Linked DNA regions of Mus musculus: regions 1, 2 and 4 are each reported to be linked to region 3. The links are microRNA targets in miRTarBase. Many come from high-throughput screens and were not tested one by one. Region 3 holds a microRNA gene; each other region holds the end of a gene's coding sequence.

The links. The annotated mature microRNA mmu-miR-466i-5p reads UGUGUGUGUGUGUGUGUGUG and lies in region 3 at 1,305-1,324, opposite strand. An mRNA with a match to its seed (bases 2 to 7 or 8) in the 3' UTR can be bound and repressed. Matches are read on the target gene's strand: a 7mer-m8 pairs with bases 2 to 8, a 7mer-A1 pairs with bases 2 to 7 and ends in A, and an 8mer does both.
Region 1: the mRNA of Acot2 is a reported target of mmu-miR-466i-5p. Seed matches in the 3' UTR shown: 7mer-A1 at 2,743-2,749, 8mer at 2,741-2,748, 8mer at 2,701-2,708, 8mer at 2,699-2,706, 8mer at 2,697-2,704, 8mer at 2,695-2,702 and 17 more.
Region 2: the mRNA of Nab1 is a reported target of mmu-miR-466i-5p. Seed matches in the 3' UTR shown: 8mer at 2,296-2,303, 8mer at 2,298-2,305, 8mer at 2,300-2,307, 8mer at 2,302-2,309, 8mer at 2,304-2,311, 8mer at 2,306-2,313 and 17 more.
Region 4: the mRNA of Rhou is a reported target of mmu-miR-466i-5p. Seed matches in the 3' UTR shown: 7mer-A1 at 1,614-1,620, 8mer at 1,615-1,622, 8mer at 1,617-1,624, 7mer-m8 at 1,619-1,625, 7mer-A1 at 1,659-1,665, 8mer at 1,660-1,667 and 17 more.

The regions. Positions count from the first base shown.
Region 1 is chr12:83,992,393-83,996,392 of GRCm38, reverse strand. It overlaps Acot2 (acyl-CoA thioesterase 2), which reads right to left. Exons shown (of 3, transcript NM_134188.3): 3 at 2,516-3,891. The coding sequence ends at 3,313. Among named protein-coding and RNA genes, the nearest start is that of Acot2, 6.5 kb to the right of the region's middle.
Region 2 is chr1:52,455,973-52,459,972 of GRCm38, reverse strand. Nab1 (Ngfi-A binding protein 1) reads left to right here. Exons shown (of 8, transcript NM_008667.3): 8 at 667-4,000. The coding sequence ends at 755. Among named protein-coding and RNA genes, the nearest start is that of Gm23460, 13 kb to the right of the region's middle.
Region 3 is chr3:85,464,555-85,468,705 of GRCm38, reverse strand. Mir466k (microRNA 466k) reads right to left here and starts at 1,329; the gene lies at 1,208-1,329. The region is part of intron 1 of Gm31419 (a long non-coding RNA gene); the gene reads left to right.
Region 4 is chr8:123,660,566-123,664,565 of GRCm38, forward strand. Rhou (ras homolog family member U) reads left to right here. Exons shown (of 3, transcript NM_133955.4): 3 at 296-3,315. The coding sequence ends at 751. Among named protein-coding and RNA genes, the nearest start is that of Rhou, 8.6 kb to the left of the region's middle.

The sequences.
Region 1 (4,000 bases), not on the chromosome of region 3:
ATCATGGCAGGAGGCACGACCTCACACAGGCAGGGTGCTGGAGAAATAGCTGAGAGTTCTACACTTGGATCTGTAAGCAGCAGAAGAAGAGAGGAGACACTGGGCCTGGCTTGGGCTTTTGGAACTTCAAAGCTCACCCCCAGTGACATTATTCCTTTAATAAGACCACCTACTTCAAGAAGGCCACACCTCCTAATCCTTCTCAAGTAGTGCCACTCTGATGACTAAGCATTCAAATTTATGAGCCTATGGGGCCACTCTTATTCAAACCACCATAAGGGTATAATGGTAGATTCTATGCTTTGCTCGTACTGGGTTTGATCTCCAGCACCAGGTCTATAGAGATGACTCAGTGATTAAATACAGTGGCTGCTCTCCCAGAGGATCAGAGTTCAATTCCCAGCAACCACATTGCAGTTTATAATCATCTGTAAGTCAAGTTCCAGGGGAATCCAATGCCCTTTCTGCCCTTCACAGGTACCAGACATGCAGGTGGTGCACAGACATATGTGCAGGCAAAACACATAAAATAACAAAAATATTATCTCCAGCAACAACAACAAAAATCGATCTGTGCGATAGATACTGTGCTACAGAACCCAAGAATCTAGACTTCCACTGTACCCATAACCAGCCAGTCCTACTGTCCTCCCCTGCTAACCTTCCCAGCTTCTGCCACCTAATGTTTGAGTTTTGTCACTGTGACAGATGCTATGACCAAAAAGCACTTAGGGAGGAAAGGGTTTATTTGGCTAATGTGGAGAGCCGTGCCACGAGGTGCGTGCCGCCAGTAATCGCTGTGGAGAGCCGTGCCGAGAGCAATCACCATTATAAGATGGCGCTGGCCTCCGCTGTGCCTAACTAGTAAACAAGCCTTGTACGCAGGTGCGAGAGTGAACTCACTCCTAGTCACTCCTATTCTCGAGGTGTAATAGTGGGGTGATGGGCGAGCAACGAATCAGGAGCTGTCACGCCATATCAGGTGCTGAAATGTCACGCTGCAGGCTATAAAAACGGCGCCATTTTCCCGGTTTGGGGTCTTCCTGAAGAAGCAAGCAATAAAGCTTTTGCTGTGGAAGATTCCGGTTTGTTGCGTCTTTCTTGCCCGTCGAGTGGGACGCAAAAGGCTAACACTTCCAGGACACAGTCCAGCACTGAGCAGGCACTCAGGGCAGGACCCCGAAGCAGAAAGCCTGATGACTTTCAGGCTTATTAGAGGAATCTGCCTTGATCTCTGGCTCATGCTTACTGTGCTCTTAACTGAGCCACCTCTGCCCACCCCCCAGACCTGGGTCTTAGTTTCTGAAGGCTCTCATGCCATGCAACAGTTTGATTTTTGTTATTGTTGGTTTTTGTTTTGTTTTGTTTTTGTTTTTGTTTTTGATTTGGTTTGGTTTGGTTTGGTTTGGTTTGGTTTGGTTTGGTTTGGTTTGGTTTTTCGAGACAGGGTTTCTCTGTGTAGCCCTGGCTGTCCTGAAACTCACTTTGTAGACCAGGCTGGCCTCGAACTCAGAAATCCACCTGCCTCTGCCTCCCGAGTGCTGGGATTAAAGGTGTGCACCACCACGCCTGGCAACAGTTTGAATTTTTAAAAATGATTCATCTGTATACTGGGGGGCAGGCGTGTGCCATGGTGCCCGTGTGAAGGTCAGAGGACGAGTTGCTGGAATCAGTCCTCTCCTTCCACCAGGTGGGGTCCAGGGATTGAACTCATTTGTCAGGCTTGGTAGCCAGTCCCATTTCCCACTGAATCAGCTCATGCAACCCTTTTATTAAACATGGTTTAATTAAACATGGTTCAGAGGCTGCAGAGAAGGTTCAGCACTTACGAGCTCTCACAGAGGACCAGAGTTTGGTTCCTAGCACCCATATTAGGTAGCTCATAACCACCTGTAACTCCAACTCCAGGGGAACTGAAATCATGTGGCCTCTGTGGGCACCTGCACAGACACACACGGACACACATGTGATGAAAAATAATAACTCTGACTCGGGTTCTATAGCCGTCTCTTTACTGCCTGTCTTGTGTTATAGGGGATCAAGCATGAGCCTAGCAATGGGTAAAGAAATCCCTCCTCCTGTGCTGACCACTCTCTGACTGGCAGGTGGCTGTGGCCTAAATGTGCGGGAATGAGAGCGTTTGCTCACACACATCCTCTTCCCTGCCTCGAAGACAGGTCTGAAGGTTGGCACACATGGGATTCCTGGCTTCTGTTTCCTTCCCCAGCTGCTCTGCTGCCTCCTGGACTAAATGTTCATCCTCCCCTCATGTCACCATGACAGAGCTCAAAACACCAAGAGGTTCTCTTCCCAACATTGGTTTGCTTTGTAAAATTGATGTTCTTGTTGGATGTGTGCATAAAAAAAAAAAAAAAACCCAAACAAACAAAACCCCTTCTCTTCTTCGCTGCTGCTAGACGTGTGTTAAGTATCTGAACAGTCACCCAAAAGCCACTTCTGGAAGGATGACAAGAGTGGGAACACTGGCCCAAGAATTGAAGGAAGGACAACATAGTTTTGTCTATAATGAGCTAGTTTTTATTTTAATAAGAATATTTACACTTAAGGTTCCCCCTTAATTCATGACATAAAAGAATTCTGTTTTTTTTTTTTTTTTTTTTTTGGATAGGCACATTTTAAAATTACACATGTGGTGTGTGTGTGCGCGTGTGTGTGTGTGTGTGTGTGTGTGTGTGTGTGTGTGTGTGCGTGCGCGCGTACGCACACGCGCACAAGCACTTGTGTGTGTCAGAGGACAACTTGTCAGAGTTTGTTCTCTCCTTCTACCATGTAGACCCTGGGGGAAAAAAATCTTAAGTTGTCAGGCTTGGCAGAAAGCACCTTTACCACGGAGCCATCTCACCAGGTCCACAGGCACATTTTTATAAGAAAGTTTTAATTTCTTTGTCGTCTTACGGCACTGGGGAATGAATTCTGGGCACTATGGAAGAAAGACGAATGCATTACCACCAAGCTCTATATATCCTCAGTCCTTCATAGGCACTTATTATATTGAGAAAAAACATAAGCTGGGCGTGGCTTTACTCCCAGCACTTGGGAGGCAGAGGCAGGCCGATCTCTGAATTCAGGCCCAGCCTGGTCTCGGCCAAGGGTACACAGAGAAACCCTGTCTCAAAAAAAAAAAAAAAAAAAAAAAAGAAAAGAAAAAAAGAAAAAGAAAAAAGAAAAAAGAAAGAAACTTTAAAAAATTAGAATATGTTCAAATGAACTAACCTGAACTGACATTGTGATAATATATATGAGGTTTCCCCCAAACCATCAACTAATAGGTTATATTTTAGAGGACAGTCCCTAACTCTTGCTACCCAACTGTTTGTGGAAGAAAGTCTGGAGCTGCTGCCATGCGTCCACCTGGGCCACGGCATGAGCCCTGGGCTCCCCTCCAAAGGTGATGTTGGCACCCACCAGGAGGTGCATGCCAGCGCTGCACAGCGGGAAGTAAGGGGGCTCGATGTAATGCCCTGCTGCTGGGTAGCAGATGATCTGGGGCTTCTCCTTCCCGTGCGCCTGCAGGCGTTTGGAGATCTCATCAGCATAGAACTCGCTCTTCCAGTTGTGGTCGTCCTGACCTACGAGGAACAGGAAGGTCGTGTCAGACCTTTCCACGGGAATGAAGCTCTTCTTGTCTACCAGAGGGCTTTGCAGAGCTTCCACGACATCCAAGAGACCATCTTTGGTCATTTTGACTTGGTTTCTCAGAAGGGACACAGGGGGTATAGTCTCATCCTTGTAGGAGATGGTGTTCCCAACAGCAGCCACGGAGCCATTGATGACCACAGCAGCTGTGATGCCCTTCAGGAAGGAGGCCATAGCAAGGCCAAGTTCACCCCCTTTGGAAATCCCAAGCAGCCCAATTCCAGGTCCTTTTACCTGAGAAAGAAACAAATGAAAAATGGAGATTTAGTCCAGGAACAGTATTGAGCAGTGAGTAGACCTAGCCAGAAAGTCAAATAACCCTGGGCCAACATCAGCATTTTCT
Region 2 (4,000 bases), not on the chromosome of region 3:
GGAGAGATGACTCAGTAATTAAGAGCGCTGACTCCTCTTCCTGAGTACCTGGGTTCAATTCCCAGGATCCACATGGCAGCTCACCACTGTCTGCTATTCTACCTCCAGGGTTCCAATACTTTCATGCAGGCAAAACTCCAGTACACATAAAATAAAATAAATTTAGAAAGGTCTATGGGTTCATGTATGTCTTGCCCTTGCCACTCACTATATTCTATGTCTATACTCTCCTCATTTTATAGGTAAGACACAAAGCTCAGCTATGTAACTTACCCCAATTAGTTTATACCTAGCAGTTGGTGCAGTTGGGGGTCTAAATAAAACTGTGAGTTTGTTTTTGTTTTTGTTTGTCTGTCTGTCTTTATTTTTGTTTGTTTTTCATGAAATGGGTTCTTGCTGTGTGACCCTGGCTGGCTGGGTACTCTGCCCATAGCCCAAGTTGACCTGGAACTTGAAGTAGACCTCCTGCCTCAACGTCCCTGAGTCCTGGAAATACATCACTACCATGTTGCGATAACCCATGCTTTTAACAACTAAATAAAATTCCATCTGGAATTTCATAATTATGAATAGTTAATGTTTGCTAGGAAGTTTGGGGTTTAATAACTTGATGTTGTAGTCCACTGATTTCAAATTCCAAACTCTTTCTGGTTTTGTTTTATGTAGAGAGCCTTGGGATTCTAAAAGACTATCCTCACTCTGCATTCACCTTGGAAAAGAAAGTTATTAAAACAGAGCCTGAAGACTCAAGATAGCTGAGATGCTCCTACTGTTCTCTGGAAATGGCACCAGATTCAAGGATAATGCTCCATCATAGATTAAGCCTTAATAACCAGTGTTGCCTCATTCAGCTCACAGACCATAGCCAAAGCATAAGAACCCACACAGTAGTCTGTGGACATCAGGACAAAACAACAACCACAGAAGAGGGAATCAAGAGAGCATTGCAATGTAACAGACACTGACCACTTACCTTCCTGTGTAAGCTGCTTGTGTGGAAAGGCTCAATATTGTAGGCATTCACTATTTAAGAATGTACAACATGTCTTTGTAATTTATAGAAACAAGTCTAGGTGTTGATACCTTGTGGTCTAATAGATGTGGATACCATTCATTTTACTTGAAATTTTGTTGTCTACTTTAAGTGTATTTGCCATAAATGTTACTCGTCAGCAATTAGAACTTTTGCAATCATAGAAAGAAAGTCTGGGCAATGTAGTTATTGGCAAGGTGACTGGAGAAAGATGGAAGATAAATACACAATTTACACCAAGGAGAAGACTGTGTGTTTAATACTTGATAACATTGATTTTGATTAATAGGAAATATGTAGCTGTCGCTAAATAATGTCACCTTCATTGGTTTAATCAATGCACAAATTAAAAATTGGAGTAACATTCCCAAAATGAGGTAGGCTATATTTATGGCAGCTGCTTAAGATGTAACAAAGGTTGGACAGAGGACATGAAATAAATGGGTTATTGTGTAAAAGCCTTGACTTAAAAACATTGATATTTCAGAATATGTTAAACAAATTAAGGCATAGTAAGATAGCCCTAAATGTGATAAAGATGATGGATGATGTGGGTGAATGGACATGGAATGTGTGTCTTGTTTTCAGTTCTGCTTTAGATCATGCTGTTATAGATATGAGTTCCTAATCTGTTATACTGAAATCTGTTGGCCAGATGTTAGGTGAGATGTGTGCACCACCACAGGCTCTAAGCAGTCACATAGATAGTCACTTTTCAATTTGATCTGTAGAAGAGTTCTACAGTAGAAACACCAGTAAACAGCTTTACTACAACTACAAGGCTTTTCCCTTCCTAGATGATTCTATTGGACCATAGCACCTTGCCCACTAAAAACTATCTTAGGGACCATGTGCCTCTGTTTCTACCGTGAGGTTGATTATTGTGGTCTCACTGTCCACTGTGTGTAGAGCTAGTGTGATACCATTTAAATAGAATGTTCAGTTTTTAATATTAGCCACAGCACTGGATATTATCCCTATACTTTCATGAACCGTTTCCTGTGTTCCTTAATCTATTTTGAGAAATTTTGTGGTCCTTTTTCTTTTAAAAAAAAAAAAAAACAAAAACGAAAAACAAAAAAACTATGTCTTACAGTTCAAGTTCGTAGATTTTAACATTGCAAGTTATAAAAGATGCAGTAGTCTTCCAGCTGATATATATCTGTCTCTCCTGGACCTAGAACCTGCATTTTTAAATCCAGAAGAAAGTCTCCTTAAGTAGCATACTTTTCTGACTTCCAAGCTTAGAGATAGAGAAGAAGCACACACACACACACACACACACACACACACACACACACACACACACACAAATTTTCAGTAGAATACAATTTTTATCTTGTGAACACTAATGTATTAAACTTGCTATACATTAAAGCAAATAATATATATTTTTATTTGAATGGTATATATAAATTAGATGTTATAACTAGTGGGGTGTTCTTCATTTCATTTAAGATACTTCCACTGAACAAGGTCAATTGGTTACCTCAGTATTACAGCCAATATAACCCAAGGGACCATTTCTCCCTAAGTCTGTGTTATTCTTTATTGTGTGAATTCTGCATTTTTGTGATTCCTAAAACTGTTGAAGAGATGAGTGAACTTGCTTCCCGTGGCAATAAAGGATTTCTCTGCCTCACAAATCCTTGCTTAGAGTGCTTTGCATAGCACATGATGTTCGTCTATACTGCCTCCCTTACCGCATGTCGGGACAGGATGCGCTTCTCTTTTTTCCTGTGACACTGAGAGTTGAACCCAGAGGCTCTACCACTGATAGGCCCAGCACTCATGTTACTTTTTTATTCTGAGACAGGCTTCCTAACTTGCCGCAGCTGGCCTTGAACTCACTCTGTAGACCACACAGGTGGTGGTCACCTGGGGAGACCTTTCCTAGCCTGGGCTTCATACATTTCACTTTTGAAAGGGCAGAGTACTTCTGACTCAGCACCATGTTGTTTGTGACATTGATGCTGCTCTGAATCTTCAAAAGAAAACCAACCAGGTTGTCAACCCAATGAGAGCAGGAGCCCTGGTAGATTCAAGAGATTACAACAGCAAATATTTGATGAAAGCCCTCTTCTGACCCAGCGCTGTGCAAGGGTTGGTTCTGGGGATCCAAGAACGTGTATTTGCTGTTATCTCTGGGCGTTCTCATGAATGACATTCTCCAGTGGCCTTCAAGTTAACAAAGGATGACTCAGTGTCCACTGTTATTGAAAACACACATTGATGACAACTGTTTCCATAGCAACCGTGCAAGACAAACATTCCCGACACCTAAGAGATCAGAAGCCGACACTGTGATAATGCTTTCAATTCTGAATGTGTGGTGGCTAAATCGTCCAGGTCACCCCTGGATTCTGCTTTGGCTGACTTACGGAAATGAAGAAAACAATCACTTGTTCTTGTGCAGAAAATATGAAATCATAATTTAAGTTCATAATTCTTTTAAATTAGTCTTATGTTCTACTTACACATATTTTTCTGTCTATTTTTTTTACCATAGCTTTAGAAAGAATGATAAATAATAGCTGGTTTTGTTATAAATTCATTAGAACTCCTTCCTTCTTTCATATTTTCATAGCTGCTAGGCCACACGATTCTTGAGCACTACAGTATTCTTTTGAATTCTGGTCTCTTGGCAGTGCCTGATTCTTTGGTCATAATTTCTAAGACTGTTCTTTTGACTGCTCCATTTATGTCCAGATCTCACTTGTAAGACATAAAAGGGCTCATTTCTGCCAGTTCACCCTCAACCAAAGGAAAAGTTTAATATTGTTGTAGTGATTTAATATGATGTCTAGAACAGAAGCATTTAAAAATAACTCACCAAGCACTAAACTCGATTTTTTAGCATTCACATGACATGCTACTTACCATTAGCTTTCTCTTTTTATTTTTAAAATATTTCATTGATTTTCTATTTTTAAAGTAGTTAATTGGGCCAGTGTGATGATGCCCACT
Region 3 (4,151 bases):
CACAATCAGCTCCAGGAGAGCCAATCAAGTCCTTGTGGATGTCATGTCTCAGTGTCCTCTTTATTAGGATGTCACAGGTAAATTCCTGTGGCTGGTGCCAAGACAAACTGCCTAGAACATTTTATTTGCTGGCTTGCTCTGATTAAAGTGGAGAACGCACTGCACTTTCTCGTTTGTGGTCACCTGCTAAATCTTTACCTTATTTCTGGTGTTGCCTAACACAGCGTCTCATACACAGCAGAAGAGAAAGAGTCACTAAATGAATGAATGAATCTATTTCCTATTTCCTTCGAAATTTGAGCCTCTGCACAGGCTGAGATGTACTGGCGTGCTTTGTGTTGTTGTTGGAGGTGGAATCTGGGGTCTTGTATATGCTGGGCAAGTGTTTCATCATTGAGCTATAACCCAAGAGCTAAAAAACTTGTTCCGGTGGCATTAGGGTAGCAGACAATTTTTGGGGAAATGAAGTTTGTTTCCAGAAGGCCTAGGGCTGTGGAATCCTGGGTATAATGGATGCTTAGAAGAGAAGAGATGACTTCAGGTCTCAAGGACTGAGGACATGTCCCTAGTTTTCAGTGACTGGCTTTTATACCACCAGAAGCTCTGCACACTCTGTACTGACCCTTTTCCTGTGAACTTCCCTGTGTAACATTTGTTCCTCTGTTTTATCAGCTGAATGATGGAACCTCACAGCCAAGAACTTTGAGAGGTCAAAAGGACCTGGCTGCTTCCTGCAGGTGGCAATGGCTTCCTTTCTTCTTCAGCCTTTAGACAGTTTGGATTTCAAATTATTCCATCACTTTCTAGAACATTCCAGATCCAAGCTCTCCTCTCCTATCACAGATGTATTCTGCAGCGCTGGGCCTCTCTACTGCATGTGGTTGTGGGAGAAGAAAGCCGCTGAGGTAGTTGAAGCCATGTTTAGCTTTTAGTTCTGTGAGGCAAGAGGGCCAGGACAGAGCATTTCCCCTTCCCTGTCAAGATATCAGCACCTGCTTGGGAAGCCAGAAGATGGAGGAGTAAAAAAGCTCCTGTTCCTCGGGGGCTTGCAGGTAAGGTCACGGCCAGTGCAGAGGTGCCAGTCTTCTCCTGCCCTATAAGGCTGCTGCTACCTGTGAAAGATCAGTGCAGTTGCTTACCTGTCACCTAGGCCAGATGGAGACACAGCCATCGGAGTCACAATTAGTAACACCTACTCACCATACACACACATGCACATGCACACATATACACATATATTCACATACTCACACACATGCACATGTACAAACATATACACACACATACTCACATGTACATGTACACACACACACACACACACACATATATATGTATATACACACCTGCACACACACACACACACACACACACACACACACACATATCAATAGAGAACATGCATATACACGTACATGCACTCATGCACATGCACACCCATGTGTATATGCACACACATACATACACATATACACATATGCATGCACACACACACATACACTTATTTCTATAGGAGGGTGTACATGAATGTATATCACATGCACACATGTATATGTGTGTGAATATAGGTGAATATACAGCCCCTCCCATCCTGGAAACTAGCACATTCATATAAGACACCATAATACAGCTTTTCAATATTTTCTTTTCTGTAAGAAAGTAGGGAATTGACTGAAGTCCAGGGCTGTTGCAGTTCAGAAGTTCGGCTCTTTATCTAAATGTGGCCCTGAGAGTTAGGCAGCAGATGGAGGTAACATGGCAGCTTCCAGGGCTTGGAGTCAATGACTTCAATGAACAAAAACAGACACTTTCTTTTACTCGCTCCATTGAGAACATGACCACACATTCCTGGCTCACAGGAGACCCCTAAATCTGGAGGCCACTCCACGATGTCTCCTCATCCTTAAAGTAGAAAGTGGGACTGCGGAATCTGTCATGTGCTCCATCTTGGGCCACTGATGGGGTCTGTGTGAGATGAGATCTGATTTGCCTCGGTTATTCTGGGATGCACATTGGCTACTCTGCCCACTTCATCCATTCTGAGCTACTACCAATCTCCATCCTTACAGGCAGCAGCCAATTTGAAACGTACAGTTGTATACTCCCACTTCAGGTTACTTTTGCCAACACATATTACCTTATGTTTATTTGAGTTAAGTTTCGTCTGCCTGCAGGCTGCACAATCCCCCAAAGTGTTCCGATGCACCTGGAATTTCTTGCAAATCTTCTCTGTTTTTATTAGCCACAACAGTTTGGAACTAGTTGAAACCTCTGGGAAGAGATTAGACAACAATTACTGCCCGTTGCTCATGTAATGTCTGGCCAGGTACATGAGCCAGCAGGCCTTGCTTGGCGGGGTGGGGGTGGGTGGGCATGATAGCATTTCTATCCACTGGTCTGTCTTTTGAACTCTCAACTCTGGACAGGTACCAGGGAGCCAGCCTATCCTTGGGGTGTATGTCTACACAGGGGCATAGAGCTGTCTTATTTACAGGTTTTAGAAGCTACTGCTCTGGAGCCAAGGGAATGTGTGTTATCAAGGCCCACTCTGTCTGGTCCCCTTGGATATTACAGAAAGAAGGGACAGAAGAAGAGAGCCGAGGGAGGGGAAGGAAGCTTGCAGCACTGCTCGCTATGCTGGGTTCTGTAAAATCAGGTGATTAGACATGGGAGGAGGAAGGACAGAAGTATCACCCTTCGGACTCCTCTGGAGAGGCTGAGACATCACCATGGTCACATCCTGGAATCTGGGAATGAGGACTGGTTGAGGCTGGAAGCCACTGTCCTCAAGACCAGGTAGGACATCAAGGACCAGTTCCACGAGCCAGGATGGAGGAGGTGAAGCGGGCTGCTGCTTGCGGAAAGCAGCTTCTGTGAGCAAGGCTGGTGTGTGGGCAGCAGCTTAGGCTGAACGGATCCCAGAGCGTTCCAGCGAGCTAATCTTGTCAGCCTCAAGCTGTTCCACAGACAGTGGGTGTGAATCCAAAGCCATCTTAGATGCTCAGCTCTCAAATGTTTCTTTTAAGAAAATAAAAAAAGAGAGATTGAAGGTACACCAGACCCAAATGGGCCAGTTACCTGGGAAGGTTAGACTTGTGAGCTGTGAAGTGCAAGTATGCAGATGTTAGAGACGATGGGATGAGATGTGTGTATGGGGGTGGATGTCTCTTCTCTGTCAGCTATATCCCTGGATGAGAGTGTCTGTCTCCTTCTGCCTCAAGGATACTGTATATATCTGCTCCACGTGTAGAAGCAGAAGTCAGTGGTATCCAGTCTCCAGCCCTGGACTCGTCTTCTCTCCTGTTGTCTCTGCTTTCATAGTCAGTTGACTGTGCCTGCTTAAACTGTGCACATATAGAAACTAAATCTTGAGGAAGGAGGAACCCTAGGAGAGTAATATAATCCTGATCCTGACTTCTAATTAATCTCTATGGGGAGAAAATATCTTATGTCTGTATGCATGTGGCAACTGTCAGTAATAAATTTGATGACCTATAACTTGGCAGGAAATAGGAGGTAGGACATCTGTGAGGTAGAAAGGATTCTGGGATAGTGCCAGGTGGGAGATACACTGGGGAAGATGTGACAAGACAGATACCTGGTACCTGAGCACAGGTAACCAGCTATGTGGCAAAATGTAGTTGAGCATAGGTGGGTTATTTTAAGTTCTGACCTAGTTAGAGAAGAGCCTAGCTGTATGGCCAAGGTATTGTAAACATATTTTGAGTCTGTGTCTTATTTCTGGGAGCATGGGAATGGGAGGAAGAACAACCTACCTTCTGTATCCCTACTCTACCATTAGTCTCCTGTCCCTCTGTCCTTCATCTTTCCATGGCTGCAGGGAAGACCTGATGCTCAAGATGAGAAATTAAAACCACTGTCCCGGGGGGTGGGGGGTGCGGGGTGTTACATGGACTGTAGTCTGGGTCAACCAGAGTCACACTTGAAAAGGGGAATCAGATCACACTGATTCACAGCAACACCTATGACCCCTTTAAATAATGAGTGGCGATTTCATGTTACTAGCATGCTGTGACAGAGCATCACAGATCACACGGCTTAAACATTAGGTATTTACTCATAATCTTGAAGGCTCAAAGTAACAGCACAAGTGTTGGCAGGGCTGCTGTCTCCCGAGGACTATGAGGAGGAAT
Region 4 (4,000 bases), not on the chromosome of region 3:
AGAGTCACTATGGGCTGAAGGCCAGAAAAAGCAAGGTCTCATCTGCCTTGAGTGCCTTCCATAGCGTCTGGCATGGTAGCCATAGTCACCAAGAGCACATTTGGAGTGTTAAGGCTGTGTGGTCCTGTGCGGTCCCTCAGAGCTTATAGAGGCTGCACCTGTGTCACAAGGGCAGGTCTGAGACACTGGCTCCTCTTTATAAAAACATAGGTTTTCTGTGACTATCCCGGCCCTAAAGGTCGCTTCCTAAGGTGGAAAGAGCTAACAAGGGTAATGGCATCTTGCTTGGTTTCAGGATGAGTTTGACAAGCTGAGGCCCCTCTGCTACACCAACACAGACATCTTCCTGCTGTGCTTCAGCGTGGTGAGCCCCACATCCTTCCAGAACGTGGGCGAGAAGTGGGTTCCAGAGATTCGACGTCACTGCCCAAAGGCCCCCATCATCCTGGTCGGGACACAGTCGGACCTCAGGGAGGACGTCAAAGTGCTCATAGAACTGGACAAGTGCAAAGAGAAGCCGGTGCCTGAAGAGGCGGCGAAGCTGTGCGCGGAGGAAGTCAAAGCTGTCTCCTACATCGAGTGCTCAGCGTTGACTCAGAAAAACCTCAAAGAGGTTTTCGACGCCGCCATTGTTGCTGGTATCCAGCACTCAGACTCCCAGCTACAGCCAAAGAAGTCTAAAAGCAGGACCCCGGATAAGGTGCGGGACCTGTCCAAGTCTTGGTGGAGGAAGTATTGCTGCCTGGCCTGACTCTCGCAAATAGCAGGTGTTTAAGCTGCAACAGCTCTTTATGGACGAGGCTGTCATAGGATGAGCCCCAAAGCACCCTCTTCTGCCCTTAACTTCCTGTGTGCGGGAGCTTAGGGCTGAGATTCATATGCAAAATACGTTTTTTTAAAAATTGAAAGTTACATTTTTTTTCTGTTAAGTCTGGAAGCTTTGAGCTGTAGACCTCCGGATTAATTTATATTCCATATGAAAAGGGCTCTTCAAAGCGGGGTGTCAGCATGAAGTTCTGCTGTGTTGTACAGGACAAAGGAGAATGAATGGGACCTTCTCCTGATTAAGGGCTACTGAGGGCTCAGTGCAGGGCACGTGTGCACCAGGCTTGGTGAGAGTGAGCAAGCGTGAGCTTTGAAACCACACGAGCCACCCCCGGTTTTGTAAGGGCAAAGATCTGAAACCAGCAAGGGCCTTCTGCTTACGAAACCTCGAGCCCATCCCTTCTGTTTACTCAGATTCTCTTAGGATTTTAAAACAACCAAACATCCCACAGCCTACTGGCATAGTGTTGGCGAACAGTGCACTTGCTTGTTACGGTTTTGTTTTGTTTTTTTAAATCACGTGACCAGTTATATTGCTATGAAAATGGTGGAGATGCCTCGTAGAAGGCGAGTGCTGGGTGCACATGTGACATTTTCTTCAGGGAGCGACTCATGGTGAGACCAGAGAGGGCTCTTAGCTTGCAGGACTGGCTTCTGCAGGGCATCTGTGTCCTGCTGTTAAAAGCAGGAGGAGGTGCTTGTCTGGGAGCTTTAAGTGTGCTGGGCTCATATCGTCCCGTTTGCAAGGAATTGGGCCACCTTGAGAGGCCATAGTTGATGGCTATGGGACACACACACACTTTTTCCTTAAGTCCACCAAAATGCCTGCCTGTACACACACACACACACACACACACACACACACACACACACACTGGCTGGTTTGCTGATGGAACCCTTAGACCACCCTCCCACCCCCACCCCTCCCCAAGCATGGCTGCAAGTGTCAGGGCACCACACCTTCCTCTTCTTGACATTTCTTTGAACAGACATCATTTTGTAGGATCTTAATTTATACATTTTTTTCAGGTCATAAAATGTGGGATGAACATACTTTGAACCCCAGTGCCTTCAGGGTCCATTGACTAGGGAGGCACTGTCTTAGGGGACAGGTATGTGCAAGGCCTTACCCACCAGTGGCTTCTCGCTGCAGGTCATGTTTGTGGCACTTGTTCTTTAAGGTGAGGGTCTTATGACCGACTGTTCTGAGACAGCCCTGTGTCAGGCAAGCTCTTTCACAGGGTTGTAGGTATTTCCAAGACGCCATAGGAACCAGACAGTGAATCATAGCTATCAGTTTGCTGTGGGCAAGGAACCTCTTTTTGGCCACCTGGTAACAAAATTTTATGTCTGTAAATTTTTTCTTGCTATTTAAAAAAAAAAATCAATCTTACGTTTTTCTGTAGGAAAAAAAAAAACAAGTAAAAGAACAGGCCATATTTCAGGTCAAAGGCTTCTTCCTGCTGGTAAATGGGACTGAAGACTTTCTTACATCATTATTAAAAGGCTAATTGCTGAACCACTAGAGTATATGAACTGTTTGTGAATGATATTAGCCATAGTCTCCTGAGGTGTTTCCTTGTGGCCTGAGTGGTAACATTGTTTTGCTTATGGAGATGCTGTAACTGACCTAGTGACTCAGCTTATCCTATTGTGCATGGCTGTCTGGAAAGCCAGCGTACAAGTGGGGCTTTGCCTGCCCTGTGTACAGAGGGTGGGTGGGAAAGAGTGAATTATTTAATTTTAAATGTTATAATAAAGCCAATGTAGTTGAGACCAAGGAAATGAGCATTGAGAACACAAACTTGAAGTCTGGTGCCAGGGTTGTTGGACCTCACACCCTGTCTCTGAGCCACCCGGAAGTGACATAAAGGACGCTGTGTGATCAAGTTCTGGACACTTTTCTGGGATGCGTACCACTGGACTATTTATGTCACAAATCTAGTGGGTTGACGCTGCCCTGCAAGTTTTCAATGTCCCTGCATCCTATGAAGTCATAATGTCTGACTGTACTGGAGGTTTTCCTGCATTTTTTACTTTTCGAAAATAGAGGTTTGGGCTGAGAATTCTAAACGCATGTGCCTGGGTGGGACGTCAAGTCAGGGTTCTCATCAAAGCTGAGAAGTGGCTGGAATGTTCAGCTTGGTGTCTGGGGAGGATCCTGTGAGCTATGTAGAGAGGTGGCTCTTCAGCCTGACTCAGTGTGGGCTGAACGAAGTACCTGCAGAACACACGGTAGCAGGCTCCAAAATCGTCACCTCAAGCATGCGTGCAAGCAAACTTCCGAGAACTCCGTTTTCTGCTCGGCAGACGTGTGAGCAGCTACCCAGAAGTCTCAAGCCAAAAGGGGAGCCTCGCTCGCTGGCTCCTCTGCAGGTGCCTTATCGACCTGTGCTCTTCTCTTTTCCCGTGTCAAAGATGTTGGACAGGATCTTGTACTTGAAACATACTACAAATGAGTTACTATGAAATAAATTCTGACCTGTGGACCGAGCTGCTCTTGCTTATTCTACTGAAAGGATAGAAGCTCAGATATGCCTTGGCCTGGACAGGTTCAGAAGCTTCCCTGTATTCAGGGAAAGTACCTAGTATCACACTCACTCAGTACTTCCTGTACCTAGTATCATACTCAGTACTTCCTGTACCTAGTATCACGATCACTCAGTACTTCCTGTACCTAGTATCACACTCAGTACTTCCTGTACCTAGTATCACGCTCACTCAGTACGGCTGTGGGCTCTGGTCTTGTTCTGATGGTTGGCACCCTCTGCATTTGTTTGTTTGTTTGTTTGTTTTGTTTTCCAGATAGGTTTCTCTGTATAACCTCCCTGGCTGTCTTGGAACTTGCTTTGTAGACCAGGCTGGCCTCAAACTCACAGAGATCTGACTGCGTCTGCTGCCCGAGTGCTGGGATTAAAGGCATTTGCCACCACGCCCGGCTTCCCTCTGCATATTTTGGGAAGGCCAGGTTACAGAGTGCAGACTCCAGGGGTGTACAGTGTTGAGGGAGACCTGAGGGCCTGAGAGCTTCATGTGTGACCACTTGGCCTTTCTTTCTACAGATGAGTCCTTGGGGGATGCAAATGGTGGGGATTTATCTATAAGCCACCAAGGAAGAGAAACAGGAGCCAAGACCCTGTCACCCTGCAGCCATGCACCTGAAGCCCTAGGTGCC